Linked DNA regions of Mus musculus. The protein of the gene in region 2 interacts with the protein of the main gene of each other region in a pairwise test. Links are inferred from orthologs where the notes say so. Each region holds a gene or a part of one and is shown on either strand. Other genes may lie near its edges. The genes, in order: Ncoa6, Nr1h2, Med1 and Npy.

The links.
Region 1: the proteins of Nr1h2 (region 2) and Ncoa6 interact in a two-hybrid assay, tested with the Homo sapiens proteins (2 studies listed by BioGRID). The link is inferred for Mus musculus from reciprocal best matches to the Homo sapiens genes NR1H2 and NCOA6.
Region 3: the proteins of Nr1h2 (region 2) and Med1 interact in a two-hybrid assay, tested with the Homo sapiens proteins (2 studies listed by BioGRID and IntAct, with this or other methods). The link is inferred for Mus musculus from reciprocal best matches to the Homo sapiens genes NR1H2 and MED1.
Region 4: the proteins of Nr1h2 (region 2) and Npy interact in a two-hybrid assay, tested with the Homo sapiens proteins (3 studies listed by BioGRID and IntAct). The link is inferred for Mus musculus from reciprocal best matches to the Homo sapiens genes NR1H2 and NPY.

The regions. Positions count from the first base shown.
Region 1 is NC_000068.7:155,411,869-155,419,256, reverse strand, and holds part of Ncoa6 (nuclear receptor coactivator 6), read left to right. Parts: intron 1-232; coding exon 233-379; intron 380-3,328; coding exon 3,329-4,445; intron 4,446-7,388. UniProt on the Homo sapiens protein: Nuclear receptor coactivator that directly binds nuclear receptors and stimulates the transcriptional activities in a hormone-dependent fashion. Coactivates expression in an agonist- and AF2-dependent manner.
Region 2 is NC_000073.6:44,548,998-44,556,842, forward strand, and holds Nr1h2 (oxysterols receptor LXR-beta), read right to left. Parts: upstream 4,969-7,845; 5' UTR 4,812-4,968; exon of another isoform or gene 4,808-4,811; intron 4,712-4,807; 5' UTR 4,582-4,711; intron 3,761-4,581; exon of another isoform or gene 3,758-3,760; 5' UTR 3,740-3,757; coding exon 3,700-3,739; intron 3,624-3,699; coding exon 3,510-3,623; exon of another isoform or gene 3,249-3,509; coding exon 2,958-3,248; intron 2,863-2,957; coding exon 2,603-2,862; intron 2,501-2,602; coding exon 2,321-2,500; intron 1,848-2,320; coding exon 1,748-1,847; intron 1,512-1,747; coding exon 1,303-1,511; intron 1,135-1,302; coding exon 988-1,134; 3' UTR 619-987; downstream 1-618. UniProt on the Homo sapiens protein: Nuclear receptor that exhibits a ligand-dependent transcriptional activation activity. Binds preferentially to double-stranded oligonucleotide direct repeats having the consensus half-site sequence 5'-AGGTCA-3' and 4-nt spacing (DR-4).
Region 3 is NC_000077.6:98,188,877-98,196,796, forward strand, and holds the start of Med1 (mediator of RNA polymerase II transcription subunit 1), read right to left. Parts: upstream 4,418-7,920; 5' UTR 4,208-4,417; coding exon 4,183-4,207; intron 4,031-4,182; exon of another isoform or gene 3,931-4,030; intron 413-3,930; coding exon 306-412; intron 1-305. UniProt on the Homo sapiens protein: Component of the Mediator complex, a coactivator involved in the regulated transcription of nearly all RNA polymerase II-dependent genes.
Region 4 is NC_000072.6:49,820,024-49,827,912, forward strand, and holds the start of Npy (pro-neuropeptide Y preproprotein), read left to right. Parts: upstream 1-2,686; 5' UTR 2,687-2,778; intron 2,779-3,574; coding exon 3,575-3,762; intron 3,763-7,465; coding exon 7,466-7,546; intron 7,547-7,889. UniProt on the Homo sapiens protein: NPY is implicated in the control of feeding and in secretion of gonadotrophin-release hormone.

The DNA.
Region 1 (7,388 bases), on a different chromosome or scaffold from region 2:
CTAAGTGTAAATTTTTTAGTATTTCCTTTTCATTTTGACAGAGTTCATGTAAGGGATTGTGTTGTTTTTTTTAACCATCTTTCCCAACCTTATTATTAAAGATCCTACCAGTGTGACAGAGAGAGCTAAGCCACTGGGAACTCCATGCAGCTCATCCTTCCTTATCCATTCCATATCTCAGCACGAGTATAAATTTGCTAGGTAACCGCCTTACTCATTGTTTTCTATTAAGGAATGCCTAAACGCCTCCCGCCTGGCTTCTCAGCAGGACAGGCCAATCCCAACTTCATGCAAGGTCAGGTGCCTTCCACCACAGCAGCCACCCCTGGGAATTCAGGAGCCCTTCAGCTGCAAGCAAATCAAAATGTCCAGCACGCAGGTTGGTTTGCTTTCGTTTAGTCATGTGTGTTGAGTGAGCGTTGCTTCGGCGGTAAATTCCTTGAAAGACAATAGAGGTATAAAAATGAACAAGTCATGGTCTTTCTCTTCAATTTCAAACACATAGATACACTTTAGGGGTGATGATTGAAATATGGAAAATAAGTTATTTCTCAAGAATCAAGAAACACCTTTGGAAAGGAAATGAAACTTTAGTTAGAACAGGAGTCACATATGCACACACTTTCTTTCTATAAAGGGCCGATAGTAAATAGCTTAGATCATTTGAACTGTATTGCAACTATTGAGTCTGCTTAGTGAGGCAATAGTGCTCCCACTCCTTTCCTGTTTCCAAACCAGCATGGCCTGCCTTGCTGACCGGAGATTAGAGCATGTGGAGGCAAAAGACGTTTCTGGGAAAGGAAACCATAAATTCATGGGTATGTAGATATATGGCATGTTTGAACATCTTCAACTCTTAAAATCTCTATATAGTACATATTAGCTTCATTTATGCTGAATGCCTAAATTCTGATATGCAGTGTGGCTTTTTTCCAATTTAATCAGTACCAATAGTATAGTATATATAAGAAAGTTTGGAAAGGAAATAACATATAGTAGATTGGTTAATAAGTACTCTTCGAAGCAGCTTTTAAAGCCCAAATTTCATGTTGCTGGGTTTCTTTTGTTTGCTTAGGAATTAAGTGACTAATCTTTTTGCCCTTTCTCATTGAAGTAGTTTACACTAAGTTAGCTTAAAATTTCCTGAACTTCCAATGTTCGTTATAAATTGCTTAAAGAATGGGAAAAAAATCTAGAGCTCACAAGATGTTTCAGCAGGTTAAAGTGTTTGTTCTGGCCTTCCTTGCCAATGGGAATATTTGCCTACACTTTCATCACATGCACACACAATAATAAGTAAAAATTTAATTTTTTAAGAAATAAAAATGAGAGACAAGTGATGGCTTACTCCAATTTCAGGGGATTCCACAGGCACCAAGCATATATGTGGTGTACAGACATATATAGGCAAAATACCTGTACACATAAAATAAAAATAATTTTTTTAAAAATGTATAATTCTTCCACCCTAGCACAGCTATTTACTTTTTAAAGGAAGACTTCCATGTTTATCTGTTGTTTTCATTTCTCCATCTGGTCTGTTTAAAGCAGTTCTCCTCTCGTCTATCATTTTCTGTTGTTACCTGTCTTAATGTTCTGTTAACTTTTAATACTTCCTGAAAAAATTAGTTTTTAATCTCTTGCCTCTTAAACCGTTTTATTGATACTAAATCAGCACTAGATTTAGTATCAATAACTGAATAATCCTAACTGCTATTGGATACTGAAATAATTGTTGCTTGGATGACTGTATACTTGTATTTATAGTGTTTATGGAGTTCAAGTTTGACTTTATGAGGCTGGTTTAGAAAGCCTTTCTGAAACTCAGGAAGAAGTGTGATGTGTAACCAGTGGGCAGTTTATGCTTCTCTCTCAAGCTAGAGCATGGACTGGTCTGTAACTTCATTAGATTGCCACTTTATAGCTCCTATTTAAAGTTATAAAAAAAAAATCAGAGCTAGGACAAGGTTCGATAGTTAAAGAGCTTGCTGTGAAAGCATGAGAACCACAGTTTGGATTCCAAGAAGCCACATAAGCTGAGAGAGTGTGGCAGCTACCCACAATCCCAGGGGTTGGGAAATAGAGACCTGCACAGACCACACATATTCAAATGTGCATAACACGTACACACCATGCATGTATACATATATACACCAAAAATGACAGGAACATGCATTCAAGGTATATATAGCTCAGTAGTAGAGTACCTTCCCAGCTTATAAGAGGCCTTAAATTCATCGGTTTTATTTTTGGTGTTTTGAGATAGGATCTTACCATGTAGTTTAGGCTGCCCTTGAATTTATGACAGTTCTATTGCCTCAGCTTTCCAGGTGCTAGCATTACAGACATCGGCCACTATGCCCAGCTGAGAAAACTTTCAAGTCAAGCATAGTGGTACAGTTCAAGGCAGTGGAGCACACAGTTTCAGAGCAGCCTGCTAATATCGATGTCCTGTCGCAACAGAACAGACAAAATAAGCCAGATGGTTTCTCAGTTGAAGTGGGTGGGGTAGATTGTGAATTTAACTCCAGTAGACTTCATTCTAAGTATATAGAAGGTTGTGGGTTCGATGTTCAATGCCACAGTAAGATTTGGAGATAAAGCAAGTAGCTATAGGAAAATTCCAAGGCTCTAACAATAAACAATTCATCTGGCCAGACAGTACCAACAGTGCCTTTGGTTGAAAGAGAACTTAGAACAAGTCCCATATGGTCCAGTAGGGACTGTCACAGAGTAGGATCACTAAACTTTCAGCATCTTCCTGTTTCTAGGTCTCTTAAGCAGAGGTACCCTGTCCTTAGGCTATACTGTAACTATCTTCTTTAAAGCACAGCATCCAGATCTCACACACATAGTCTTTGAAAGGCATAATTACTTTTCAAAGAAGCATTTTTGAAATGTCTTTTCTGTGTTCCTGAGTTTTTTCTAGAGGACACTGGTACATTCTTTGTTTCCCTTGTTTACTCATAATGAGGCTCATTTTCTAGCCCATGATGGTTTTTAAGTTTTATTCACAGTAAGGTAGTTACAAACTATGCTATAAAACTGATAATACTTCATTTAATATGAAAGTAAACTTTATTTTCTAATGTTGTCTTTAAGTTACTATGTAAAATAAAGACATGTTTTTCTTAGTGTATGAAAATGTAAGCAATTACCCCCACCCTATATCATACCTCCAGAGTCTAAAATACTCACAGAAAGTGTGTTAAACATGTGCATTTATGTTGGTTATTATGTATATGTATGATAGGTGCCTTTCTAAGTAATGTAATTGGAGTACCTTAATATGATGATAATTTTTTGTTCTTTGGTTTTGTTTCTTAAGGTGGTCAAGGAGCTGGTCCTCCTCAAAACCAGATGCAGGTGTCTCACGGGCCACCAAATATGATGCAACCCAGCCTCATGGGAATTCATGGCAACATAAACAACCAGCAGGCTGGTAGCTCTGGGGTTCCTCAGGTGACCCTGGGCAACATGCAAGGCCAGCCCCAGCAAGGCCCACCATCTCAGCTGATGGGCATGCACCAACAGATTGTGCCCTCACAGGGCCAAATGGCCCAGCAACAAGGAACTTTGAACCCTCAAAATCCTATGATCCTTTCAAGGGCCCAGCTTATGCCACAGGGCCAGATGATGGTGAACGCTCAAAACCAAAATCTTGGACCTTCACCCCAAAGGATGACCCCACCCAAGCAGATGCTTCCCCAGCAGGGCCCACAAATGATGGCACCACATAACCAGATGATGGGGCCTCAGGGGCAAGTTTTGCTCCAGCAGAACCCAATGATAGAGCAAATAATGACCAATCAGATGCAGGGGAATAAGGCGCAATTTAACTCTCAGAACCAATCCAATGTCATGCCGGGACCAGCACAAATAATGAGGGGACCAACTCCGAATATGCAAGGAAACATGGTGCAATTCACAGGACAGATGTCAGGACAGATGCTGCCTCAGCAAGGACCTGTGAACAACAGTCCATCTCAGGTTATGGGGATTCAGGGGCAGGTTCTGCGGCCACCAGGACCCAGTCCACACATGGCCCAGCAACATAATGATCCAGTTACCACAGCAAATAATGATGTCAACCTGTCTCAGATGATGCCTGATGTCAGCATGCAGCAAGCCAGCATGGTCCCCCCACATGTGCAGAGCATGCAGGGAAACAGTGCTTCGGGAAGCCACTTCTCGGGCCATGGAGTGTCTTTCAATGCACCATTTGGTGGTGCACCCAATGGAAGTCAGATGTCTTGTGGTCAAAATCCAGGCTTTCCCGTCAATAAAGATGTAACGTTAACGAGCCCATTGTTGGTCAACTTACTACAGAGTGACATTTCTGCAGGCCATTTTGGTGTAAACAATAAACAAAATAATACCAATGCAAATAAACCGAAGAAGAAGAAACCGCCTCGGAAGAAGAAAAATTGTCACCAAGATCTAAAGTAAGTTATGATCAGTTTACCTCAAATGTGACTCAGTTGTTTCTGTGTGGATATTTGTTGACAGATTTTTGTTTTGTTTAAGATTTATTATTTATTTTATGTATATGAGTACACTATATATAGCTGTCTTCAGACATACTAGAAGAAGGCATCGGATCCCATTACAGATGGTTGTGAGCCACCATGTGGGTGCTGGAAACTGAACTCAGGACCTCTGGAAGAGCAGTCAGTGCTCTGAACCACTGAGCCATCTCTTCAGCCCTTTGTTTTGTTTTTAAGACAGGATTTCACTGTGTAGCCTTGGCTGTCCTGCAACTCACTCTGTAGACAGGTTGGTCTCAAAGTCACAGGAGATCTGTCTGCCTCTGTCTCTTGAGTGCTGGGATTAAAGGTGTGCACTACTCCCTTAGCCTGAAAAGTGACCAGTGATATCCCACTGCCATTCTATAGAGCACAGACTTGAATGTTATGCTGGCTGTTGGGGTATTCGGGGAATGTGTTTGCTGAAGCAAAACTGATCGTGAAGACACCCTGCATCTAGCCAATAGGGGAAAAAATTTTTACATGTGTGCTTTTTCTCTAAAAATCTCTTACCGTCCCTAAAAGCTTCAATCAGTTTCCCTTATGTAAAAGTTCCCCAGAGGAGCTCTTTCATAAAACACAACAGGAAGGATAATTAACAATTATGTTTCATATCCTAAAACTACATATTAAGTTATGTTTCTGATTTTTGGCTAAGTGTTTGTGGTAGATTTTCAGTCTTTAATCATTAAAATGAGTTCAGAGACATTATCAACAGGGACTAGTGACTGGTGACTACAAAACAGTTTGAGATAAATTGCTAGGCCAATTATGGTGGCTCACACTTGTTATCTCAACACTCAGGGAGCTGAGACAGGAGCCTAGCTTGAGCTACCTAGGGAGACCTCAGAGAGAAGGGGAAAGATGGAATGGGGGAACTAGAGACAGAAAGAAAACTCCAACAGGGGAGCTTTGTCTAAATGAGCTTAAATGTTCAAACTAACTCCAGCTGCCTTTATCCAGGCTTTTCTACAACGTGCTTTGGTTTTAGTCTATCACAGTAACTTGCTACTTCTTGAGTCTTAAATATTAAACGTCAGTCACTATATATTAACAGCATATATTTTCCTGAATTCAGACTTATTTTCCTTATACCTCAGTTAAATTCTTGCTGTTATCAAGTTGTCTGGCTTACCCCACCCCACCCCTACCCCTAATGTGAGTGCACTGCAGCTGTCTCAGACACACCAGAAGAGGGCATCGGATCCCATTACAGATGGCTGTGAGCTACCTCTGGAAGAACAGCCAGTGCTCTTAACCACTGATCCATCTCTCCAGCCCTATTAACCTGTCTAAATAACATTTTTTTTAAAGATTTTTATTTATTATTATATGTAAGTACACTGTAGCTGTCTTCAGACACACCAGAAGAGGAAGTCAGATCTTGTTACGGATGGTTGTGAGCCACCATGTGGTTGCTGGGATTTGAACTCTGGACCTTCGGAAGAGCAGTCGGGTGCTCTTACCCACTGAGCCATTTCACCAGCCCTAAATAACATTTTTTATGGTAGTAATTATCTTATTCCCCTCAGTATGCTAGAAATAAAATTATACTTATTCATTTGCCATTAGTATGTTTTTGCTGTCTTCACCAGCCTTCTGGTGAATTGTTGATTCAACACACTTCTAAAAGGGTCTTAAACAGCATCAGGCAGGGCTCCTAAGAAAGAGAGGCTTAGGAGGAAGCTAACCTACCTCCAGTTCTACCATTATCTTACCATGAAACCTGTCTTAGACTATTAGTGTTTCTTTCATTGTTTTAGCTATAAAAAATTTTTAAGTGAAGGATACCACAAAATCTTCATTTATAATTTGAAATAACTGGAAAGTTATATAAGGAACAAATTGGCATAGTGATTTGGTTGTCCTTAGGACCTGTTAAATGCTTGGGGGGGGGTCTCTTATTGTTTATGTGTGGGTATTTTGGCTGCGTGTGTCTGTACACCACATGCTTCTGTATCTGATGCTACCGGAGGCTAGATAAGAGTGTCAGGTCTCCTGGATCTACAGTGACAGGTGGTTATGAGCTGCCATGGTGATGCTAGGAATTGAACCTGGATCCTCTGGAAGAGCAGCTATAGCTCATAACCTCTGAGCCATCTCTCCAGTCTTATGCTGCTGCTGCTGGTGCTGTTTTTTAAAGGAATTTGATGGTTTATAAAACTATACAGAGTGTTATGGGACAAAATACTGTTTACAAGGGGGTGACCATAATCAAATCAAAGGGAAATTAGTTTAGGAAAGGAAGATACAAATGGGAATAAAAAATAAACCAAATGAGGAATATAAGCACACTGGATCCTCAAAAATGTGGGCATGAGTAGGAAAAAAAGAATGTTTTCATTTTTTTCTTTCCCACTAGAATTCTTTTTTTATTTTTTATTTTTTGGTTTTTGTTTGTTTGTTTGGTTGGTTGTTTTTTTGAGACAGGGTTTCTCTGTATAGCCCTGGCTGTCCTGGAACTCAGTTTGTAGACCAGGCTGGTCTCGAACTCAGAAATCTGCCTGCCTCTGCCTCCCGAGTGCTGGAATTAAAGGCGTGTGCCACCACGCCCGGCTTCCCACTAGAATTCTAAGTTACAGAAAGAATCCAATGGTTAATGTCTCCAAGTCTTCGTTCCACAGCAAAGCTAAGTAGCTTTGTTGTGGTATTTTCCACCTTTATTGTTTGAGTACCGTCTCCATCCAGTTGGCAGACATGTAAAGTTACCTTAGGCTGCTGAATCCCTGGCATCTGGGTTGCATTAATAGCTACACTGGAGTCGGTATCACAGGAGTGACACTGCAGAGTACTGGAAGCTCAGAGTCCTGCTCAAGCTAACATCAAAGGTCATTATATAAAACATAGTATCAGGAATTAGAG
Region 2 (7,845 bases):
GAGCGCCCACTGCAGGAGCGTTAGAAGACTGCCACAGTGGATGCTACCCTGATGCTTTGCTAGAAGCAAGCTTCTTTTCTGTTTTCCTCAGAGTCCCTACACGCCCAGGTTCTTGTATAACTTCTGTTGCCCCACAAATCATTTCCTGACTTATGACACTCATGGCCAGATGCAGTCCTCAGCTTTTGAAAACCTGGCCCTAAGAAGTGTTCTTTTGGGCTGGTGAGATGGCTCAGTGGGTAAGAGCACCCGACTGCTCTTCCAAAGGTCCGGAGTTCAAATCCCAGCAACCACATGGTGGCTCACAACCACCCATAATGAGATCTGATGCCCTCTTCTGGTGTGTCTGAAGACAGCTACAGTGTACTTACATATAATAATAAAATAAATAAAATTAAAAAAAAAAAAAAAAAAAAAAAGAAGTGTTCTTTTGAGACCCTCCTCTTAAAGTTCCTCTCCTTTTCCACTGGCCTCCATCCGCCTTAGTGTCTCAAACTATGCTGTATGAAGATAACCTGTCTTCGGCGGAGCGACCCCTACCCCTGTGGCCTGAACCTAGACCAAGCGCAGTCACCTGGGCAGAGAGATGGCCCACCCTCTCCACACTGGGCTCAGGAATGGCTTGTACTCAAACTTTATTTTTGTTTTTTTATTAAATAAAAGGGGCAGAAGAGAGGGCCTGTGGTCTCCCAACTGTGGGGGGCCACCTGCCCTAACCTCTCTCCACTCAAGGTGCATGGTGTGGTAGGCTGAGGTGTAAGCGTGGGTGGGAGGGCAGCTGGGAACGGTCAGAGGCTAGGACCTGTGACCCTCACCACTCTTGGAAGACTCAATGGGTGGGGTGGGGCCTTCTAGTGCCAACTGCCGCTGAGTTTGAGGCTGAGCCCGAGGGACTGGGCCGTGACAATGTCCTCCCACCCCAGGAGGAGAGGTGAAGAGTCCATCTTCAAGAAGACACCACCAAGGCTGGGGCACTTGTGGCTGCCCCTACTCGTGCACATCCCAGATCTCGGACAGCAAGGGCGGCAGCTTCTTGTCCTGGAGTCGCAATGCAAAGACCTGCTCCGAGTGCACGGAGCTGAGGGTGCGCAGGCTCACCAGCTTCATGAGCATGCGTGGGAAGCGGAGCTGGTCCTGCAGGGAGAGGAGGCAAGTCGGTCCTGCTGGGGCCCTGTCCTGCAAAGCCAGCTTTGTCTGGAAAGCCAGCACCCTGAGTGGTCAGGCCCCAGGCTCAGTGTGCCCAACATGTGCCACTGGACCCCAATACTGAGACTGCTCATATACAACAGGCAGCTCCCGTACCTGTGGGCGCTTGATCCTCGTGTAGGAGAGGAGCGCCTCCACGTAGGGCTGCTGCAGGGCCTCCACACGGCTGGGCTCCTGCACATTAGGCCGATCGGCTGAGAAGATGTTGATGGCGATAAGCAAGGCATACTCTGCATCGTCCAGGCCCAGCCGCCGCATGGCCCGCGAGAACTCGAAGATGGGATTGATGAATTCCACCTGCAAGCCTGCAAGAGCAGCCCCAGCCCAGCTTCACACCGGACCCTGGTCCCAGGGCACTCAAAGGGGAAGGAAGGACAGCCTGTGACAGTTACTCCGGCTTCCGCCCCACACAGACCCTGTGAGTGCCTCTTACACGATGCATCTGGCCTCGCTAAACATGATCTTTCCTTGCCAGTGCCTGCCTGGCCTGGAGGGCCAACGGGGCAGAAACCCCAGGACCAAGTCAGTGCCTTCCACAGACCTGCACGGTGGAAGTCGTCCTTGCTGTAGGTGAAGTCCTTCAGGAACGTGATGCATTCTGTCTCGTGGTTGTAGCGTCTGGCTGTTTCTAGCAACATGATCTGGAGGTGACAAGGTACAGGGCTCTTCAGCTGCCCCAGAGTCAAATGTGCCAAGACCAGCAGGCTGCCACCCTTCTGCCAGGTAAGACATTCTTAACTTTCCTTCCTTCAACTCTATCACCCACTGCCCCATCCAAGGCCACTAACCCCACATTACCGTGAGGCCCAGGCTAGAGGTTTAATTCTTAGCATTCAGAACTCTGCACACAGTTAACTCTCAATACTTCATTATCCTTGATTTGGCTCCAATATCCATTCCTTTGGAGTCTTTGGGTCATTTTCCTGTTTAACAGCCCATCTGATATCCTCCGTTATTCTCTACCTCAGCCCATTTCCCTTTTCTCCCTGGCTGGCTCTCTGGAGGCTCCAGATACCTTGTTGGATGGGACCCTGCAGCTGACTACACCCCACAAGGGTCAGGACATGCCTGTACCATGTTCAGCTCTGGTCTCGTCCTAGAGCCTAGTTATTACCTCAATGGTGGACGCCTTCAGGAGGGCGATCTGGTCCTCCCGGCCCAACTGCAAGAACCCTGGCACCTGCTTGGCAAAGTCCACAATCTCCTGGACCGAGATGATGGCTAGCTCGGTGAAGTGGGCAAAGCGTTGCTGACGGGCATCTCGGGACTGAGGGTCTGCACCCAGGGGCCAGGGCTGGGACACAAAAGACCACGGTCACGTGGGGGACTCGCACGCCCTAGGAAACCCCTCCCTAGCCTGGGTGGGCTCTGTCCACAGGGCCGGGCAGGGCGATACCGTGACTTTGGGCTGGTCGGAGAAAGATCGTTTGTTGCACTGCAGCTGCGCGGCAACTAACTGCTGGATCATCAGCTCCTGAGCCGCGGTCAGCTGGATGCCCTCTCCTTCCCCGGAGCCCTGGCTGCTTGCTTCCGAAGTGCCAGGGGAGGCCGCTGGCCGGCCTGAGCTGCTGGCTGCTGGCTCAGATGGGGGTGGTGGCTGCTGCTGTTGCTGCTTCTGAATCCTTTTCTTCCGAATCTGCTCCTCAGAGAGCACGCCTGCGGGAAAGCCGGCCTCAGAGGCGGGCCTCAGCCTCACTTACACCTCCCCTTGCAGGTGACCCGCTCTCCCTCTAGCCCCACCCCTTGCTTACACTGCTCCCGCATGCCAGCCTCCTTGCACTTGCGCAGCCGGCAGAGCTGGCACTTGCGCCGCATGAAGGCATCCATCTGGCAGGTTCCGCTGCCCCGACAGGCATAGCGCCCGGCCCCACCGTGGACCACACTGCGCCGGAAGAAGCCTTTGCAGCCTTCACAGCTGAGCACGTTGTAGTGGAAGCCCGAAGCCTTGTCTCCGCACACGCGGCACAGCTCATGGCCCAGCATCTTCGGGGCCGGCCCCTTCTTCCGCTTGCGCTCAGGCTCATCCTCTGGCTCTAAGATGACTTGGGGTGAGCAGATGCCATGAGAGATAGCGACAAAGAGAAACAGCAGCCGGGGAACGGGCCATGGGAGGTCCCGAAGCGAGGGTGAGAGGACGGGGCTGCAACGCCAAGGGAAAGATCTGCAGGTCGGCGGGCTCCGGAGGACGAGTCGGCGGTGTCAGGGAGAAAAGGAAGGGAAAGCGGACCAAAAGACAGGGGCCACCATCTCCCCGCCCTTCCTTCACAAAGCCCCACACCCCTGTTCCTGTCTCCCCATCTCACCCACGATGTAGGCAGAGCTGGACCCTTCAGAGCCTGGAGGAGGATCAGTCTCCTGCCCCTCTTCCTTAATAGTGGGTGACGTGGCGGAGGTACTGGGCTGAGGAGAACCATTCCCTAGGAAAAGGAAGACAGGACAGTGAGCTTCTCCAACACTGTGGAAGGGGCTGGCTAGGGAAAGCCCGTCACTCACCAGGCACGGGAGTGTCCAGAGAACTTGTGGGGGAAGACATAGTGGGTCACGAAGCAGCCTGCTGAACATAGGGGAGCCAGCCAATTACAGGGCATAATAGGGGTGTCTCTTCTTCCAGTGCTCACGGACTCTTGAGACATGATCTCATACAGCTCAGGCTACCCGAACTATGTGGCTGAACAGCTTGAACCACCTCCAAAATCTTGGAACACACTACTCTAGGCTGTCCTGGGATCTTCCGCACTCCTGCCTCGGCCTCTCAAGTGCTGCCATTACAAGACTGTGCCACACCTCAGTGTTTTTAACTTCTATATTGAGCCCCCACTCCCAGCCCTAGTTCCTAATAAACATCACACACTTTAACATGCCCAACCCGGCCCACTGCTCCTTCCACCTCTCTACGAATCATGACCTCAGAGAGCCCAACAACTCTATTCCTCTTCTGTGAGCACCAACTGTGCTCTTATCATGGGAGATCCTAACTTTGCCCCGCCTCTCCCATCAGGGCGCAACCATTACCCTTCTACCATAGGCTCCTTCAAGGCTTTAACGCACCCCAATACAGACCCCAGACCCTACCCATCCCATCAAGTCCCTGGCCCCACCCCTTCCCACTCTGGAGCAGAAACCCAAATTCCGCCCCGTTCCTCCTAGGCTCCGCCCCTCTCATTCCCCCAAAGCCAATTATAGGTCTTCACTGTGCCACGCCCTCCATGCCTCTGCCCCTCCCAATCCCCCCCAACAGTGGTCTAGGCCCCGCCCCAAGAATCAAAAGCCTTTAATCACAGACTATCTACAGCAGGCCTTCTGCCCATCTGTGTCCCGCCCCCGCCCACCAACCATAGGCTTTCCCTACGCCCCGCCCCGTAGAGTCACGCCCACCTTGTTCCAGGCCCCGCCCCTCTCCGTGCACCAGGGGGAGGCGGGGCTCATGACTGCACCGGCGATCGGGAGGGGGGTCGCAGGGGGTCTCCGACTCTGTTGCCCTGGAAACGGCCGTGGGAGGCGAGAGCTGCGAGGAAAGTGAGGGAAGGATGCGCGCGCTAAGCGGGACCCACGGCGATCCGCGTACCGGGCTCAGTCCCACCTGCCCGGCCGCCCGGCGCACTTGCCTCTGTGTCCGCACCGGTGATTGTGCCTCCACAGCACTTTGGAAGTAACTTCAGAAGCCTGGGAGTAGCTCGAAGCAACAGCGCTTGCTGAGCGAAAAGCAAAAGTAACTTCGCCACTTCTTCCGGCAACCCCGCTGCGCGTCACTTCCGGAAGTAGGCGGACCGGGAAAGGTGACAGACTTCCGGTCTGCCAGGGCGCCACCGACTGTGAGGCCTCGGCCGGAAGTGGCACACCGGAAGTTTATTTCTTCTGGTAGTTCCCCTCTGGGACTCAGAAAAAAGTTCCGGAAAGTTCTTTCGTTTCTTTTCGCAGGTGGCTAACGAAGCAGGTTTTAACCTTTTTGAGTAGTTTAAAGTTCTCTACTTTTGTAGCGGTGCTGCATGGCTGCTTTTTAAAAAAATTTTTGTCTTGATTTTGAGACAGGATCTCTTATTTCAAGGGTGGCCTTAAACTTCTGAGCCTGTTGCCTTTACCTCCCCATTATTGCGGTAGCAGCTCCTCTTCCAGCCCTGTATGTTGGTTCTAAATATTTTAAATTTGGAGATGGCAAGATGGTTACAGGATGGTTTTAAGCCTAAAAAGCTTAAAGGCTTTTCATACCTTAAACTTCTCCAGCTCAGGGCTTGGGCTGCCCTTCCCTTTATAATCCAGCCGATTTGGTTACTGGGTCCTTTACTCTCCTGGCTCGCCTCTCTCTCCTTCTCCTTCTCCTCCTCCTCACATGTCCTGATTCTGGATCTTGTTCACTTTGGACTCTCTTGATGTCCCCGCCTCGGGAACTTTTTTTTTTTTTTTTAAGATTTATTTATTTATGTATATGTGAGTACACTGTAGCTGTCTTTAGACACACCAGAAGAGGGCATCAGATCTCATTACGGATGGTTGTGAGCCACAATGTGGTTGCTGGGATTTGAACTCAGGACCTTCAGAAAAGCAATTGGTGCTCTTAACTGCTGAGCCATCTCTCCAGCCCAGGAACTTTTTTATACAAGAATTTATTTTTGCATTCAGCTTCATAATAGGAAGAAGTAAATATAAAAAAGGCAAATTGGGTGCAGACCCATGCCTGCAATAAGCAAACAGACCCAGGCAAGGCAAGAGGATTGCTTTTAGTTGGAAGCCAAATTGAGCTAGGAAGTGAGACCTGGCCATCAGCTAAATGTGAATAAACAAGTAGCCTCAACCCCTCTCCCATAAAAGTAATAATACCAGCTTTTTCACAAAAGATTGAAATACTTGTGTGAATCTCAGATGGAAAACATTCAGAGATTGTTTCTCCGCACTCCCCACTTATGGACAGTTGGGAATCTTTATTAAGCACAAATTCTTGCTTTTACTTAACTTTTGTTGCTGTTGTTCTTGGTTTTGTTTTGTTTTGTTTTTTGTTGTTGTTGTTTTGGTTTTGTTTTGTTTAGGTTTGGTTTTTTCGAGACAGCGTTTCTCTGTATAGTCCTGGCTGTCCTGGAACTCACTTTGTAGACCAGGCTGGCCTCGGACTCAGAAATCCGCCTGCCTCTGCCTCCCAAGTGCTGGGATTAAAGGCGTGCGCCACCACCGCCCGGCCACTGTTGTTCTTGTTGATTTGTTTGTTTTGCAAGGCAGGGTTTCTTTGTGTAGCCATGGCTGTCCTAGAACTGCTTCTGTAGACCAGGCTGGCCTTCATCTCCTAAGAGAGTTGGCCAAGGCCTCTGCCTCCCATGTGCTAGGATTAGAAGTGCATACCACCACTACCTGGTTTAACCCCCACCCCCTTTTAAAAGCATGGTCTCGCCATTCTAGCTGTCCTAGAACTCTATGTACACCAGGTTGGCTTCCAGGTCAGAGATAGATCCTCCTGCCTCTGCCTCATGAGTACTGGGATTAAAAGTGCCATGCTATGATAATCTAACAAATTCTTACAAAGTTGAGGCTGGAGCCTACGTTACCTCAGTCATGCAACAAAATTGGTCCTGAGACCCAGCCACTAACCCATGCTTTTTTTCAGAAATAAGTGATAGGTCTCAAAACAAACAAACAAAAGCCAAAGCCTGGACGGATAGCTGAGGTGCATATTAATATGTGGACTCGGCGCCAGTCCCTCTCAGTATCACCAATACCTGTTAGTGTATAGTTACCCCTACCCTCAGCCTTTTCCCCAAGATTCTCATTCCCACATAATCCAGTTGTTTTGGCTACATGTCCCTTAGCTCTCTTGGTCCTCTTTGTGTCCTGGTTCCCCCATCCTCCCTCTCTCACCCCTGACCCCATGGCCCGGTTTATTCTGTTGGCCCAGTTCAGTCTGGACTCTTACAAATGCCTCCGGATGGTCTCTTCCCTATATCTACAATAAACCTCCTCTGCCATAACTGGGACCTGTCATGCGCTCACTGTTTTTCATTAAGCATGTATTTATACACTTATATATGTATGTGTGTTTATGTTTACATTTAATATACATTATATTAGTAAATTGTCACATACTGTTTGAATTCACTGAGATGCTGGCCCTGGAAGCAGGGTTGCTCCCCACTCCAAACCTAAACATATGACTTAGTGTCCTCTAGGACACTGAGGTTATCTGAGGTTGGACTGGTTCCCGAGGCCCTCTGAGCCCGGGGGGGGGGGGGGGCGGCGGATAGCACCTCCTCAAAGCAAATGACCCAACCACTTTTATCCCTGTGTGCGTGAATGAGTGTACTGAGAAGTCTGGAATCTTGGTTTTTAAAAGAACATAGAACTATTATACAACATGTTTTTGTTTTAGTCCAAGGCGTGGGGATGTGGGGCTGTTTGAAACACTTGACTGACTTGCCTGGTGCTCTAGCAGAGGCATGGTTTTGCCAGCTGCAGATAGTTTCTGCAATTGTATAGTCTTTAGAATTCTGGGAACTTTTCAGAGCGTATATAAATGCTAGGGCCCCCAGAGGTGGACTGGTGACTGGTTGTTGTCAGTGGCAGTTTGTTAAGTAGTCGAGGGCAAAGAAGAAATTAGATATCCTGAGTTCAAAGATCAAACTTGCCCCAAGGAACTCGATAACCCTAATCAACAGGAAG
Region 3 (7,920 bases), on a different chromosome or scaffold from region 2:
GGACACAGCATTGGATCTAGCAACCCTTGCGCATTCGGGAGCTAGCTTCTCCTTTTTTTTTTTACTCAGAAATTAGCCTGCCTCTGCCTCCCGAGTGCTGGGATTAAAGGCGTGAGCCACCAAGCCCGGCCTGGCAACTAGCTTCTTAAATATTTTTTTTTTACAAAGTACTTTTTAATTAATTTCTTTAGACATAACTGAAAGTGATATTTCTACAGTTCTACAATGCCCAATGCATCCTTTAAAGATTCAGCATGAGTTGTGTACAACTGGGCAGTAATTCTCAGTACCTTCCCAATACTCACCATTACTTGACGCACAAGCTTAATGGTTTCACTCCAAGGTCTGTTCTGGTTAAATTTTGCATGGAGCCGTTCCAGGAGGGAGCTCATCTTACTCAGCCTCTCTGAGTCTACGACGGAAAGCAGAAACCACCATTAGACACTCTGACATCAAGACTTCCACAGTTTCTCCTACAAAAGAACCCCTGTATTTCACTTAGGAACTGTCAAAGCACTTTTATATAAATGTACTCCAAAACATAAAGAAAGCCAGCTAGGAAAATGCTCACCCATAAATTCCATCCGTGCACTGGAGACACCGAGGCAGGAGGTTTGTAAATTCAAGGCTAGCCTGAGCTACAAAGGAAATCGAAGTCTCAAATATATACACAACACACAAGGTTGTCTAACGTAATTTCCTGGAGACAGAATCTTACTAAGTTGTCCATTTTGTTGGCCTTGGAGTCTTCAGCACCGACAATGCCCCTGCCCTAGCCTCGTGAGTCACTGTGACTACAGGTACACACTGTGTCCAGCTTAGAAGATAGCTTTAAATTTTATTTTTATGCCAGGCACGGTGACATGCACCTTGTATCTTAAAACTCAGGAGACAGAAGCAGTCATACCTTTGTCATGTCAAGACCAGTCTGGTCTGCATAATGAGACCCTGTCTTAAAACAGACAGCAACAATAAAAACCAAGGGAGAAATGGCTCAGTGGTTAGAGCACCTGCTGCTTTTCCAGAGGACCTGAGTGAGACTCTCAGCATTCACATGGCAGCTCACAAACATTTCTAACTCCAGTTCCAGTTCCGGGGGATCTGACACCCTCTTCTGGTTTCCACGGCCACACATGCGATGCATAGACATACATGCAAACAAACCATCCACATATATAAAACGAACATTGAAAATACTACTAGAAACCAAACCAGACTGTGTTTATTATTTGTGTGAGGATGTCTTTTTTTGTTGTTGTTTGTTTTTTTGAGACAGGGATTCTCTGAGTAGCCCTGGCTGTCCTGGAACTCTGTAGACCAGGCTGGCCTCGAACTCAGAAATCCGCCTGCCTCCCAAATGCTGGGATTAAAGGCGTGGCCACCATGCCCGGCTGTCTGTGATGTGTGAACACAGGTGTAAACTGGCCACAGTGCCTGTGGGGATCAGAAGATGGCTTTCTGCAGCCAGTTCTCACCTTTCACCATGAGTACATGGGACCTTCCAGGCCCCGATGCATTGTGTTGTTTTATCTGGTGTTAGGGTCTAAAAAGGCTGGCTTTGAACAAATAAAGGTCCACCTGCCTCTGCCTCTTAAGTACTGGCATCAAAACAGTTCTACAATGCCCAATGCATCCTTTAAAGAGCACTAGCTGCTCTTTCAGAAGTTCTGGGTTCAAGTCCCAGCACCCACATGGCAGCTCACAGTCACATGCAACTCCAGTCCCAGGAGATCTGCTCTCCTCTTCTGGGTTCTAAGGACACCAGGCATGTACTTGGTACACAGAAATACAGGGAGATAAAACCACCATACACATGAAATACATATTCTTTATTTCAAAAAAAAATATGTTGGGTATGCATTTTTTTGGGTTTTTTTGGGGGAAGGGTTGCTGTTATTGTTTTGATTTTTTGACTCATGGATGTGTGGCATGTCTGTGCAGTGCTCATGGAGGCCAGAAGACACCGAGACTCCTGAAACTAAAGTTACAAATGCTTGTGAGTTGCTACGTGGACATGTGTTTCCTGGGAACCAAACCTGAACCTATGCCAAAAGCACAGGGCTCTTAAACCCTCAGCTCGATCTCCAGCCACCTCCCTGCTTTTTTTCTTCCATTTTGAGACAGTCTCTCACAGCCCAGCTGACCATGACCTTGAGGGCTGACAAGATGGCTACAAGAGTAGAGGCACCCGCAATGCCAAACATGAGAGTCTGGGTTCACGCCCCAGAGCCCACAGTGGATATGGTAGATGCCCTACCTCCTAGTAAAGAAATGTAAGTGGTGACCTCCTCATACTCCTACCTCTACCTATGAAGTGCTAGGATTATAAACATGGGTCACCTCCCAGGCTTGCCCAGACTATGCTCTAAGGCATCCTCTTGTCTCCTTTCATCAGCCTCCTATGGGTGTGTGCCGCTATGAGGTACGGCTGAGACAGAGCTTCCCTGGCTGTCTTGTCTCTTTGTAGGTCTGGCTGGCTTCAAACTCAGGGATCCACCTGCCTCTTTCTACTAAGTGCTAGGACTAAGGCAGGAACCATCACCAGTTGGCTCTTTGCGTGTTAGTTTTTAAGACAGGGTTTCTCACTGGACCCTTGGGCTCACAACACCTTGAAGGATATACTTGGAGCACAATTTAAGGAAGACGTTATTATAATTAGGGGTTTTAGGGCTGGAGAGATGGCTCAGAGGTTAAGAGCACTAACTGCTCTTCTGAAGGTCCTGAGTTCAATTCCCAGCAACCACATGGTGGCTCACAACCATCCATAATGAGATCTGACACCCTCTTCTGGAGTGTCTGAAGACAACTACAGTGTACTTACATATATAATAAATAAAATCTTTAAAAAAAAAATAATTAGGGGTTTTTTTTGTTTTGTTTTGTTTTGGTTTTTGGAGACAGGGTTTCTCTGCGTAGCCCTGGCTGTCCTGGAACTCACGCTGTAGACCAGGCTGGCCTCGAACTCAGAAACCGCCTGCCTCTGCCTCCCAGGTGCTGGGATTAAAGCTGTGGGCCACCACACCTGGCTCCCTTTTTCCTTTTCTTTTGGTGCTGGGAATTGAACCCATGGACAAGAAGACATTACTCTAACCACTGCTCTACATTCCCAGCCTCTAAATTATCTTTAAATTAACATACAAAGCAATGCATATCATTTTGGCATTCTTATACATATAGGCCATTATACTTGGTCCAAGTCCTCTCCCTCTGAGAGCCACACTGCCCCAACCTCCAAACAGCCAAACCTCTCACTTCATTTCATATTCCACTAACCTTTCTATCCTGCAGACCTCCTTTGTTCCCACATGGTCCCATGTTTTCACAACCAACACACACCAACACATACCTACGTCGAGATTCCTCATAAGAGAAAATGTGCTATTTATCTTAATATGGCTTATTTTGAGTATCGTCCACTTTGCTACAAATGTCGAGACTTCATTTTTGGATAAGCCAGTCCAGGTCGTGGGAGGGAGTATCTGAACCAAGAATCAAACTCTTAGCTGGCCGAGAGGTGTGTAAGCCCGCACTTGGGAGGCTGAGGCAGGGGGACCTTGTCTCAAGAAACAAAGAAGATTCTATCCCTTCCCTTTTCTTCCCTCAACTGGGAAACTGGTTTGGGGATTGTTCCTGCCAGTTTATAGTTCTGAACACCTCTCCCCCAAGCTTTAAAGCCACCGGTCGTGCACAACTGAAAGCAGTTCGTAAAGACACAGCACAGTATTTGAACACTATGACCTTCCAAGTAATAAACGGCCCGCTTTTACTATGATGAAGATCGAACCAAGCAAGTCACTCCGGCTAAAACACCCTCCATTACTTTGACATTACATTGTTCTAGTGTCATCTTCAGCGATCTCTCCTGGAACAAAGCATCAACAAGTTTCAGTTTCCCTCTCCTTGGGTCCCACCGGGCTAAGCTCAAAGTACCCTGAGGCTCAACTTCCTCGTCCCTCGTCCCGCAGAAAACCTTTCACGAGTGGAGGAGACGGGGGAGCAGCGCCCCGGAGGAGGCGCTCCAGCATCTGTAGGGCTCGGTCGGGATCTAAGATGCACATTCCACCAGGATCCGGTCCCACGCACGGTGGCCCTGGAGGGGCGTGGGTCCCCACCTCCTCTCTCGGATTGGCTCGCCGCAGCGGTGTACCGCCCCTCCTTCCCCGCCACCCCCCAGTCACTCACCCTCGGTTTCCCCCTGAGCCTTCATCCTGACAGCGGGGAGGTCTTGGGTCCGCCACGAGCCGGGGAGCCTTTCCCCGCCACTCAGAGGGGAACCAAGTTAGCCTGGGCTCCGGGGAAGCGGCGCACCAGCGGCCCCGACTCTTCCGGGGAAGGCTCAGTCTGAAGTCCCCGGCGGCAAGAAGAGAAGGGTGCTCGCGGCCGCCGCCATCTTCCCCAACGGAACTTCCCAAAGATCGCGAGATTAATCGTGTTCCTGTGAGACGGAGGAAGAAGGAACCGCACCAAAGTCTCGCGGAGGTTGGCTGATTTCGTCCTCCCCGCAGGATCTCTAGCAGGCCCGGCTCCGATTGGCTCAGAATTCACACCTTGGCGTCTAAGGGTGTGTGCCCAGAGTTGACATCTCTCTGAAAGTTTATGTTTGCATCCCGACAGTTACACAATTTGTAAATTAAAAGCGTTAGCTCTTCCGTCCCGCGGTGGTGGCGGCTCAAGCCTTTGATCCCAGCAGACAGGCGGAACTCTGAGTTCGAGGCCAGCCTGGTCTACAGTGTGAGTTCCAGGACAGCCATGGCTACACAGAGAAACCCTGTCTCAAACGAAACAAAATGTTTGCTCTTTGAGCACCTGGAAAAGTGGCACACTCCTATAATCCCAATGAGGAAGGGGATAGTGAAAACCGGTCCTTACAAAATAATCTCTACTGAAAGATTTCCAGTGAGTTTTAGTGTTTGGGTGTTTAGAGTTTGCCTGGTGGTGGCGCACACCTTTAATCCCAGCGCTCTGAAGGGAGAGGCAGGTAGATCTCTGAGTATGAGGGCAGCCTGGTCTACAAAGTTTCTGGACAGCCAAGGCTACAGAGAAACCTTGCCTGGACAAAAACAAAACAAAACAACAAAAAAGTAAGATTTGTAAGATGACAAGACTTGTAACTCACCAGCAACATACCTGATTAGCATGTCTGAAGTCCTGGGTTTAATTCCTAGAGAAAGTGGGAAGGTGAAATTTCCTGAAGAACCAGAAGCAGTTATGTTGTTTAAAAAAAAGAAAGAAGGGGCTGGAGAGATGGCTCAGTTAATTTAAGAGCACCGACTGCTCTTCAGGAGGTCCTGAGTTCAATTCCCAGCAACCACATGGTGGCTCACAACCATCTGTAATGAGATCTGACTCACTCTTCTGGAGTGTCTGAAGACAGGTACAGTATATATATATACACACACACACACACATACATATACACATATACACGCATACATACATATATATATAATAAATAAAAGAAAAAGAAAGGAACTAGGGAGGCAGAGGCAGGCAGATTTCTGAGTTGGAGGCCAGCCTGGTTTACAGAGTGAGTTCCAGGACAGCCAGGGCTACACAGAGAAACCCTGTCTCGAAAAACCAAAAAAAAAAAAAAAACCCAAAAAACAAAACAAACAAACAAACAAAAACAAAACAAAAAAAGAATGACTTCACACACACAAAGAAGATGATTTTTGGAAAACATTATCATCGTTTACCATGTTGAGCTTGGCTCTGTACAGAAATTAACAGTATATTGATCTAAATTGAGCTTAATTTGTTTCCCATTTGTACAGAGGTAATGCACAATTTATAGTAAATAAATAAGGACTTAACCTATATCAAGCACAGAAACTGTTAAAGTAATATCTAAAATTCTTAAAAAGAGGACCGCAGTACTTTAGGCTTTTGTTGCTGTTTGTCTTATTGGTTTTGAGACAGGGCTCCTGTAGCTCTGGCTGCTCGGGGCCTGGATGCATGGTCAGACTGGCCTGACTTCACAAAGATCCACCGGCTTCCTCATCCTGCTTATGTTCAGCACCACAGCACCTACACTCCAGTACTGGTGCTTTTTACACACCCTGGAAGCAAGTCTAACCTATTTCATTCAGTTTTATACATTTTATAAGACTACATAGGATTTTAGGTTAGAGAACTTTTTTTTTTCTGATTCTACTATGTATTATCATTGATTTTTATAACACCAGTGAAAACACACGTTTAACTTACTCTCTACAATATGAATCACAAAAAACATCTTCAGTCAATGTCTTGATAAATCTTCACAAACACAATTTCTGTAATTCTGAGACGTTCATGACCTCTGGAAACAATCAGAATAAACTTCAACAGTGAGTAAAAGATCTGATCTTAGTGTAGTTCATTTGTTCTTTCTTTCTTTCTTTCTTCCTTTCTTTTTTTTGAGACATGGTTTCTCTCTGTAGCCCTGGCTGTCCTGGATCTTGCTCTGTAGGCCAGGCTGGCCTCCTACTAAGGGATCCTCCTGCCTCTGCCTAGAGTGCTGGGATTAAAGGGTGTGCCACTGCTGCCTAGGTTGTGTCGAATACTTTCAATCGCAGAACTCTGGAGACAGAGGTAGGCAGATTTGTGACAGAGAGGCCAGCATGTCTACACACCAAGTTCTAGACCAACCAGATTCATGTAGAGAGACCTGGTCTCAAAAAAAAATTTTTTTAATGGATATGAGTGCTCTATCTGTGTGTATACCTGCATGCCACAGAGGGCATCATATCACATTATAGATGATTATGAACCACCATGTGGTTGCTAATTGAACTCAAGACCTCTGGAGGAGCACCCAGTGCTCTTAAACACTGGGCGATCTATCTCTGCAGCCCTCAAAAAAAAAAAAAATTTTTTTAAAATGCTATTCAGGCTTTTAATCCCAGCACTGCTGAGGCAGAGACAGGGAGACTCAAGGCTAGCCTGGTCTACAAAGTGAGTTCCAGGACAGCCAGGGCTACATAGTGAGATGTCTCCAACGAACCAACCAAAGGCTAGTCAAACATTTCCCAAAGCCATCCTAACAGACAGCATGGTTCACAAAAGCAGAACCAGCAGCACACATTTAGTAAGAAGAGATCTTTGTGAATATCTGGAAACGGTCTTAGTGTGCTTTTGTATTTGTGATGTGTGTAGGGATGCTACTGTGTGACCACACTTTCCTGGGGAAATGCAACACACACATCTTCTCACCCCCAGATAGGTAGCTAGCTCACTACAAGGTAGGGTGAAAGTCCAACTTCGTGAACCAATGAGTTTTATTAGGGATACTTACAGGAGCAAAAATGACTCAAAGACAGCTGCATGACCAAGGCCCCACCCAGCATGGGAACCTGAAGCACACGGCACAGCCTGTGGGCATCTCAACACATTTGAGAGTGTCCTTTGCAGGAGCCTCGGTTGGTCTAACCCTCTTCCAGGCAGCTAAGCTGGTCTCTGTTTCTTCCAGCTCAGAGTCTCTGCAGCTTACCACTCTTCAGAGCCTTCCTTGTCAGCAGCTTGGCTTGTTTACTCTTGGGAAGAAGGAGCAGAGAGAATCTGGTCAGTTTCAGGGACTTCCTGAAGCTGTTTTGAGTTGTTTTACCTTCATGTTTAAGGAAATTCTCTGCAGGACCGAAGTGTGACATGGTAGTAGTCCCCTCGCCCACCCCCATGATTTCTCCCTGTAGCTCTAGCTGTGGAGATTCACTGAAGCTGGCCTCTAACTCAAAGATCCTCTTGCCTCTACTGTTTATGCTTAGCAGGACCCTCTAAGGATGTGAGGTATTCACCAGAGAAGACCATTAGCTCTCTGTCATCATCAGAGAAGGTGGCAGTGACTTATGCAAAAGGTCTCATCCCGATCAGCGTTCTTCTGGTAAATATTTTTTAAAGCCACCTTCAGCAATTGGCACCTATTTATTATACCTTGATTTTTTT
Region 4 (7,889 bases), on a different chromosome or scaffold from region 2:
CAAATACAGCAATTGTATGGATGATAGAAGTTATTGATTATGCATATCAGTCTGGGCCTGACAGCACAGGCCTGCAATCCTAAGACTTGGGAGACTGAAACAGTTATTGGGAGTTTAAGGTCATCTTAGACTACATATGGAGAACCTATTTCAAATGTCAAAATAATAGTAATAATAATGATGTGTTAAAAACCTAGAATAAAGAGTTGACATGATGGGTATTAAAGAGACCCATATTGAAATTCTAAAGATGAAAGTTATATTGTCTAAGGTGCGAAATCACTGAATAAAACTGACAAGGATCGCATATTGAAACAGAATAAATGAAGTAACTAAAGATGTAGCAATAGGAACTGGCCAAAATAGAATGAAAAAAAAAAAAACAAATCAAAATAGACTGGCAGTGACCTGTGGGATGGAGCTAACGTCAGTTGATGACTTGATGTTTGTTCCCCTATGGGAAATGACTGCTTACATCAACACAGTGACTTATCAATCAATGCCCTTGCAGAGTTAGTCACAGTACAAGCTGGAAGGAACCTGGGATCTAGGAGAAGCTGAGTTGGTTCTTGAAGTTGAGGGGTGTCTTAGCATGGAAATGTGTCAACGGTACAGTGTGTGCTGTGGACATTTGGGTGAGTCTTAGCTTAAGGGTGTTGGATTAAAAAAAATTAAAAGCACAGATGAGAAGCTATTGTGGAGCTGGGCTAGATATGCAAACAACTCTGTATGTCAGGAGACAGACCCATGGAGGAAGGGAACCGGGAGTAGCAGGAGAGGGCACTGTCAGAGGGATGTCAAAAGTCCAGGAGGTGATGAACCTATGTTCTTTATGGATTCGTGAATGTGTATCCAAGGGAATCTTTCAAACATCCGAAGCTTCTTAGTATATTTTATTGATAGTTTAGAAAAGCTATTACAATGAATGATCACGCATATAAATAAAAAGTCAATGAAGTTGACTTTGGAACAAAGGAGAGAGCCAGCAGCTAGGACACTGCTGCTTTGAATGACGTTTGATTTTGTTTGTTGGGGGAGAGGTTGTTTCTATGAGCTACCAATGATTTCAGGAAGCCACCAAAGGAGTTAATTGATGGAGTGGTATCAGCAGAATGTTGAGAGCTCAAGGCCAGATGATGCAGCTTGGACAACAAGGAAGAGAACAGTGTGACATCCTGGGCACACCCTCCCTTGACTTTATTTTCCAAATGCTGATGGGAAAAGTTCTTGTTTTCAAGCACCGACATTATAAAGGAAGTGAATCAGATTCCCAGAGTCCCTGCTCAAAAGTGGTGCCCCTCCCTCGCGCCCTAAGGTGTACTTTCTCCGAGATCCTGTGACTCCTGCTAAATCCAGGCTTCAACTGATGTGAATCTCTGATTCACTACAAAAATATAATTACATTATTGAACAGTAGTGTGTGCCTTCCTCCTTATCAGAGAGGACTTGTTAGATGCTTTGCCTTTTATCAAATGTCCTCATGTGGGCACAAAAGCAGCCCTGACAGCTCAGTGTTTGTGGCCCTGGTGCAGGTTTCTGACGTAGGGAAAGTGAAGTCTTCCAGCTGCGAGGGATATTGTTGTTCTGGTTTATCATTCGATCACATAGTCTCTCTCTCTCTCTCTCTCTCTCTCTCTCTCTCTCTCTCTCTCTCTCACTCTCTCTCTCTCTCTTCCTCCCTCCCTCCCTCCCTCTCTCCCTCCCTCCCTCTCTCCCTCTTATTAGTAGTCAATTTAGCACTATTTAAACAACCCGCAAAGTGACACTCAAACGAAATCATTTAGTTTAGCTTTAAAATAACGCGTAAATTCCACTTTAGCAATGGACCATTTCACTTAGATTCAAACTTCCAGGGGCACTTACTCAAGCGTACCTTGTAAAAATCCCTATCTGGTAAACATAACTTCAATATCGTTCATATTTATTCAACAAGTTTAACGCGACAAGCACACTGGTGTTGGTTTTTTAATCTGCTCCATTTCAATCTGAAAGCAAGTGCTCATTCAGACGCTAACCAAGCTCACTCGGGACTTCACAGGGTTTACAGACAGGGGTGCGAATCGCCGCCACTTTCCACTCTAGATACAGAAGCTCATGGACCGCGGGCTCCCAGTGGCAGCCTCGGGGAGTTTCTGGCTGAGGCCGAACCCGGCTAGCAGCGTTGGGGAGAGTGCTTGGGGGAGGGCCCACCTTTTGGGGAGACCAGTAGATCCAATGGGTCTATGGAAGCCACTGGGACCTTGCGGTCCCGCACACCTGCACCGGGAGCGGGAAAAACCTCGCTCGCCTGCCTCCCTCCCAGAGCGCGCAGTTATCCCGCGGGCCCCAGATATGCTCCCCAAGTAGAATATTCAGGTCCCTACAGACCCGCACGCAGAGAGCTGACAATTCCCGCGACAGGCAACCTAAGCGGTCCCGCTTCATCTCCCTAGCGGGACTCGACGGTCGGGGATAGAGAGAGGGCTCCGAGGGTGCTCACTCTTGACTGTTCCCTTCTCCCCGCAGAGCGGGCCGCTTAGAATTGGGGTGTGGGTGGCTCCAGACGCCGCCACTCGAGCGGCAGTGGCTCCAGCCTCCTCCCCCGCCGCTGGGGGCGGGAAGTGGCTGTGGGAGTCACCCGGGCGTGACTGCCCCCGAGGCCCCTCCTGCCGCGACAAGGGCGCTCCATAAAAGCCTGTGGGCGACCCGCTCTCCGCATCCCACCGGTGGATCTCTTCTCTCACAGAGGCACCCAGAGCAGAGCACCCGCCGCTCAGCGACGACTGCCCGCCCGCCACGGTGAGTGCCAGGATCAACTGGGACAGGGGCGCGGGCTCCCAGACGCCAGTGAACTTGCCCCGCAGCCGGTCCCCTGAGCTTGCTCTGCCAGCTTGACACCCAGCTCTTTGGGGCGCCTAAATTTCACTTGCTGGACTCAGGTTCTACTGTCCACCTGCCCTTCCCCGGGACCCTCCAATCTGGGCGCCCCGCCTCCGTGCCTCTTATCTTTTGAGGGTAGGGAGAAGAACCTGGGAACACCTATCCCAGGGCAGCGGTGGGGTTTTGTTTGGTTGTTTGTTTGTTTGGTTGGTTGGTTGGTTACAACCAGGAACCCAGATTGCATGTGTGCTCCTAGTGGGAGATTCCCCCAAGTATTGTCTCTAGCACGGTGAGCTCTGTTGCCTCCAAAATCCGAACTGAGCCTCTGGGTATCCGACTGTCACAGCGCTTGTAGCCACACAAATCAAAAGCAACCCAGAAGAAAAGTTTTCTCCTCCAAGGGTGATTTAGGAACGAGAGGAGAAAAGTGGTCATTCTTTAAGATAGAGGGCAGAACTTCCAATTCTGTTCTGAAAAGGGGACCTCTGCCTCTCACCAGGAGAATCGGAGGAAGTTTTCTGAAATATGTGGACGGGGCAGAAGATCCAGGTCGGGGCAAGTGGTCTTCTAAAGATTTGGAAGTGGCGCCTGCCCAGTCTGGGCTTTTATTCTAGGGTCTGGGATGGGATTAGATGAGGGTCTAGAGTGATAGCTGGAATTGGGACAAAGACGAGCAATCTCAGCATCTCCAAGTCTGAGCCTTCTGTATCCACAGATGCTAGGTAACAAGCGAATGGGGCTGTGTGGACTGACCCTCGCTCTATCTCTGCTCGTGTGTTTGGGCATTCTGGCTGAGGGGTACCCCTCCAAGCCGGACAATCCGGGCGAGGACGCGCCAGCAGAGGACATGGCCAGATACTACTCCGCTCTGCGACACTACATCAATCTCATCACCAGACAGAGGTGGGTGCATACGCGGCTGGTACCTAGAGCCGGGAAAACTTGCGGTTCTGGAGATCTTGGACATCAGGGATCATTTCTTTCTCCTTGTTCATAGGGCAGGATCAGACATAAATTCAGCTCTAGATAAATATGTGAGCTGGGTACACACTCCACAAACTGGATACATTGTCTTTGTCACTAGACTTTCTCTCCAAGACCCAAGCCCAAGGTTCAGTGCCTCTAGGCTGTCCTCTGTCTGCCACTTACCTTTCCTGCCTTTTTTGCTTACATCAGTTGGAGATTTACCCAGCACATATCTCGGGGGAAAGGCCTGCATTGGGCAGGGGTGCAGAAGTGTAAAGGTGTAGGGAGAAGAGGAACCCTGATTTAGAGTAAACAACCACAGTCAAAGAAAACCAAGGACACAATCCAGCTGTCAAAAGGGTGGAGAGATCTTTGAGCCTGCCCAGGGCAAAGGGAGTGGCTGCATTTAGGGAAATAAATAAATAAATAAATAAATAAATAAATACCATGGGCTTCTTCTGAACTAATAAAAAGGCTGACTTTTCCCATTTTATAGCAACTGAGTTCTGAAAAGAAAGTGCCCCATTAAGAAGAAACAAAAGAGAACAAAGCCTTTACATTAGGGACTCTGATGGCTACAGCTCCAACTGCCTGGGACCTGAGAGACAGACCACAATCTGTACTTTTAATGTCCAGAAAGTCAGAGGCGAGCCTTGCCTTTCCTCTCAGCATTAAAATCAAGCAGGAAAAATAAAATCCACGCTATTTTACAAACAATATGGGACTTAGTCTGCAAAATTGGTGCATCTTAGTTCTAAATCATTTAACAACACATTTCAATTACTGAGAATTACTGAGAACCTTGAAGGACCATATAGGCAAGCCCTTTGGAGGCATTAATGTTCTTTACTTAGCATGTTTCAATTATGCATAGTAGATTTCCAGAGAGAGGTTAAACTGCTCGCGACCCAGGGGATGTTTGGATGGGATGCAAAAGGGAGGTTGTGCTTCTAAAACAGTTGTGTATTCTTAATTTCATCAGAAAGGTATGTGGCATTCTGAAAGCCCTCTGGGGAAAACAATCCCAATGTATACAGAATTGCTTAAGTAATACAGGCTCATAATCTTTTGAAATCTGACCATTTTGACTAGCAAAAAGCAATTGTGTTTTTGAGCCTAATAAAAAGACTTCCCAGAAAGTCAATGACTTCAGGTTTGTTTGTTTCTTTTTTTAATCCATACAGATCAAAAATAAATTACACAATTGAAATGATAGCATTATCAAGATTTATGTATGTATTTTATGTATAGCATTCTGTCTTAATGCAAGCCAGAAGAGGGAATCAGATCCCATTACAGATGGGTTGTGAGCCACCATGTGGTTGCTGGGAATTGAACTCAGGACCTCTGGTAGTTAAGCCAGTGCTCTTAACCACTGAGCCATCTTTCCAACCACAACACCATGGTTTTTGTTGTTTGTTTATTTTTGGTTTTGTTTGGCTGTTTGGTTATTGTTTGTTTTAAAAAAACAAACTTTATTATTTAGATACGACATATAGAACTCTCTCTCTCTCTCTCTCTCTCTCTCTCTCTCTCTCTCTCTCTCTGCAAAGACTGCTGCTATATGACTTTGCCTCAGTGTATGGAATGATCCCATTTCATGTTTCTCTAGTCCTCCCATTCAGTCTTTTCTTCAAAACTTTGAAGTGAATTTCATTGTCTCCACTTTGCAGATCACAAAGCTAAGGACATTTTAAGAAAGCTTTCTTGGGTTATGGAGCTAGAACCCTCTGCTGAGCTTCTGTGGATGGGACCACATCATTAACATTCAATGGAATCTCCACCATCTTTGAGGGGGGGGGAGAAACAACAGGGAAAGGGGCTTGCATGTCACAGGAAGAAAACCTGGTTCAATTCTGAAAATGAACCTGTATCATCCTGGTAAAAGTTATCTTTAGAAACCACAAGAAGCTCCATTTGTGCACTTGTTGACTTTCCACCAAAGATTCATGCACAGAAGTCCACGCCTTTGAAAATTACCGTGTTATGTGTGACTGTTTTATCTATAATTATTCTCTTCCTTCCTTCTGCCAGACCTGTTTGTAACTGTTCTCCTGTAGCTGTGCATGCTGCTGACTTACTGCCTCAGCAGGCCAAATCATTTGTTCTAGTCTATGGGTCTTGTTTGTGTGGTTCCTTAGAACAGTAGCTCTCAGGTGGAGGTGAGTTTTACTCCCTAGGACATACAGCAACGTTGAGGGGAGACTGTTTTGGTACAACCAGAAGTGAGTGCTGCTGGTATATAGTGTGGAGCTGTTAGAGAAAGAGCCCTGAGCCCAGCCACCATTTGGATAAGTCTTATGAGCATGCAGAAACTGCCACAATACAGGGAGAATTTTGACTGGAAAATAGGGAAACCACTTGCCTGTCCTTTTGACTCTCTGAAGCATAATAGAGGTAAATGAATTCAGGTTGGTTGCCCAAAGTGTGAAGATGAACAAAATCAACGGAAGGGCAGGTTAACCAAGTGCAAGCCACCAGCTCGAGTCTAATCTTGCAGAAAATCTTAACAAATGATGTGAGCGTTGGGTGATGAGGATGAGCATTGTTTGCTTTTGCTCCCCTTGAGTCTCAGCACAGGAGCAATGAGAAATCTCGCCAACGTATTTGGATTTAGTTCTGCTGGGTTGGCACTTAGAACAACATCTGTCAGCTTTGTCCAGCTGTTGTGCCTATTTGTTAATCCATCTGGACCAGGCCAAGTTTTCATTTGGAAATGGAGTGGCTGCTGATGTTCCACGCCTTTCCAGTGAATGGAGAAAATTGTGTAATTAGCTATCAACTTGTCAACACCCTTAGCAGTGTTCTGTAGCAGGTAGTTTATTTTATCTTTACAGAGGAATGTAACCTCAGGTCCATATATTGTCCTTACCATATCCTACTATTTCTGTTGGCCAGTAGGACCCCATCATGCCTCAGGGAAAGCATTAGTGTCTCCAACAGAGAGGGGAGAGTGCAAGATCCAGGGTATGTCGGGATGTGTAAGGGGGGAGCAGTGATGACCGGGATGTAAGTGTGGGTGCACTCGGGCAGCAGCTTCATTTGTGCATCACTGATGACCTGAGTTCAATCCCCAGAACCCAGGGAAGAAACAGAACCAACTATGACTTCCATGAGCTGGGGGAAGAGGTATGTGGGAGGGTTTGTAGGGAGAAATAGAAGGGGGTAAATGAAGTAATTATAATATAATTTCAATAATAAACTGTATATAAAGTACTTCAGAAAAATTAAGTATATGTAACCTTTAAATTGTATCTGTTTAGCGAGTGCGTGCATGTGTGTGTGTGTGTGTGATGTATGGATGCACACACTTGCACATGGAAGTCAGAGGATGCTTATCCAGAGTTGGTCTCTCTATTCCCTCTTTGGGTTTTGGGAATTAAACTGAAGTCATTAGGCATGCATGGAAAGAACTCTTACCTTCCGGACCATCTTACCTGGTTGTGTGTATATGTGTATGCATATATGTGGTCATGATAGAGTTGCTGATGACATATGCTTCACACTCTGAGAATACTTATTAGCACATGAACGACTGGGAATAACATTTGAGTTTGGTGGGACACTTTCCCTCTCTCTCCTATGGTTACCCCTAAGCTTACTTTATAAAAACCTTGATTTTACTTTCTTCATGTTTCAGATATGGCAAGAGATCCAGCCCTGAGACACTGATTTCAGACCTCTTAATGAAGGAAAGCACAGAAAACGCCCCCAGAACAAGGTATGACAAAGCCTGGGATGGAGATGTTACTACAGAGCTTATGATGCCAGTGGAGGGGAGCTAGGGGAAGCTGGTGGGAGTCTGTGTGGACATTAGGATAGCAGCATCCAGAAAAGAAGGGTGAGGATAGAGATGGGGATGGAGAACCATACCTGAAAGACCTTGCATTTCATGCATTCACTGCAAATCTTAATTTCCAAGGCATTTTGTTTTCTAATACATATTATTTGGTGTCCCTTTTTAAATATGGCTGACTTTTAGTTCAGAAGTTATACTCTATAGAATGCCTTGCCTTATTAGAAGTAAGGGAGCATAGAGCAAGCCCCCAACTCTGAATTGAAAT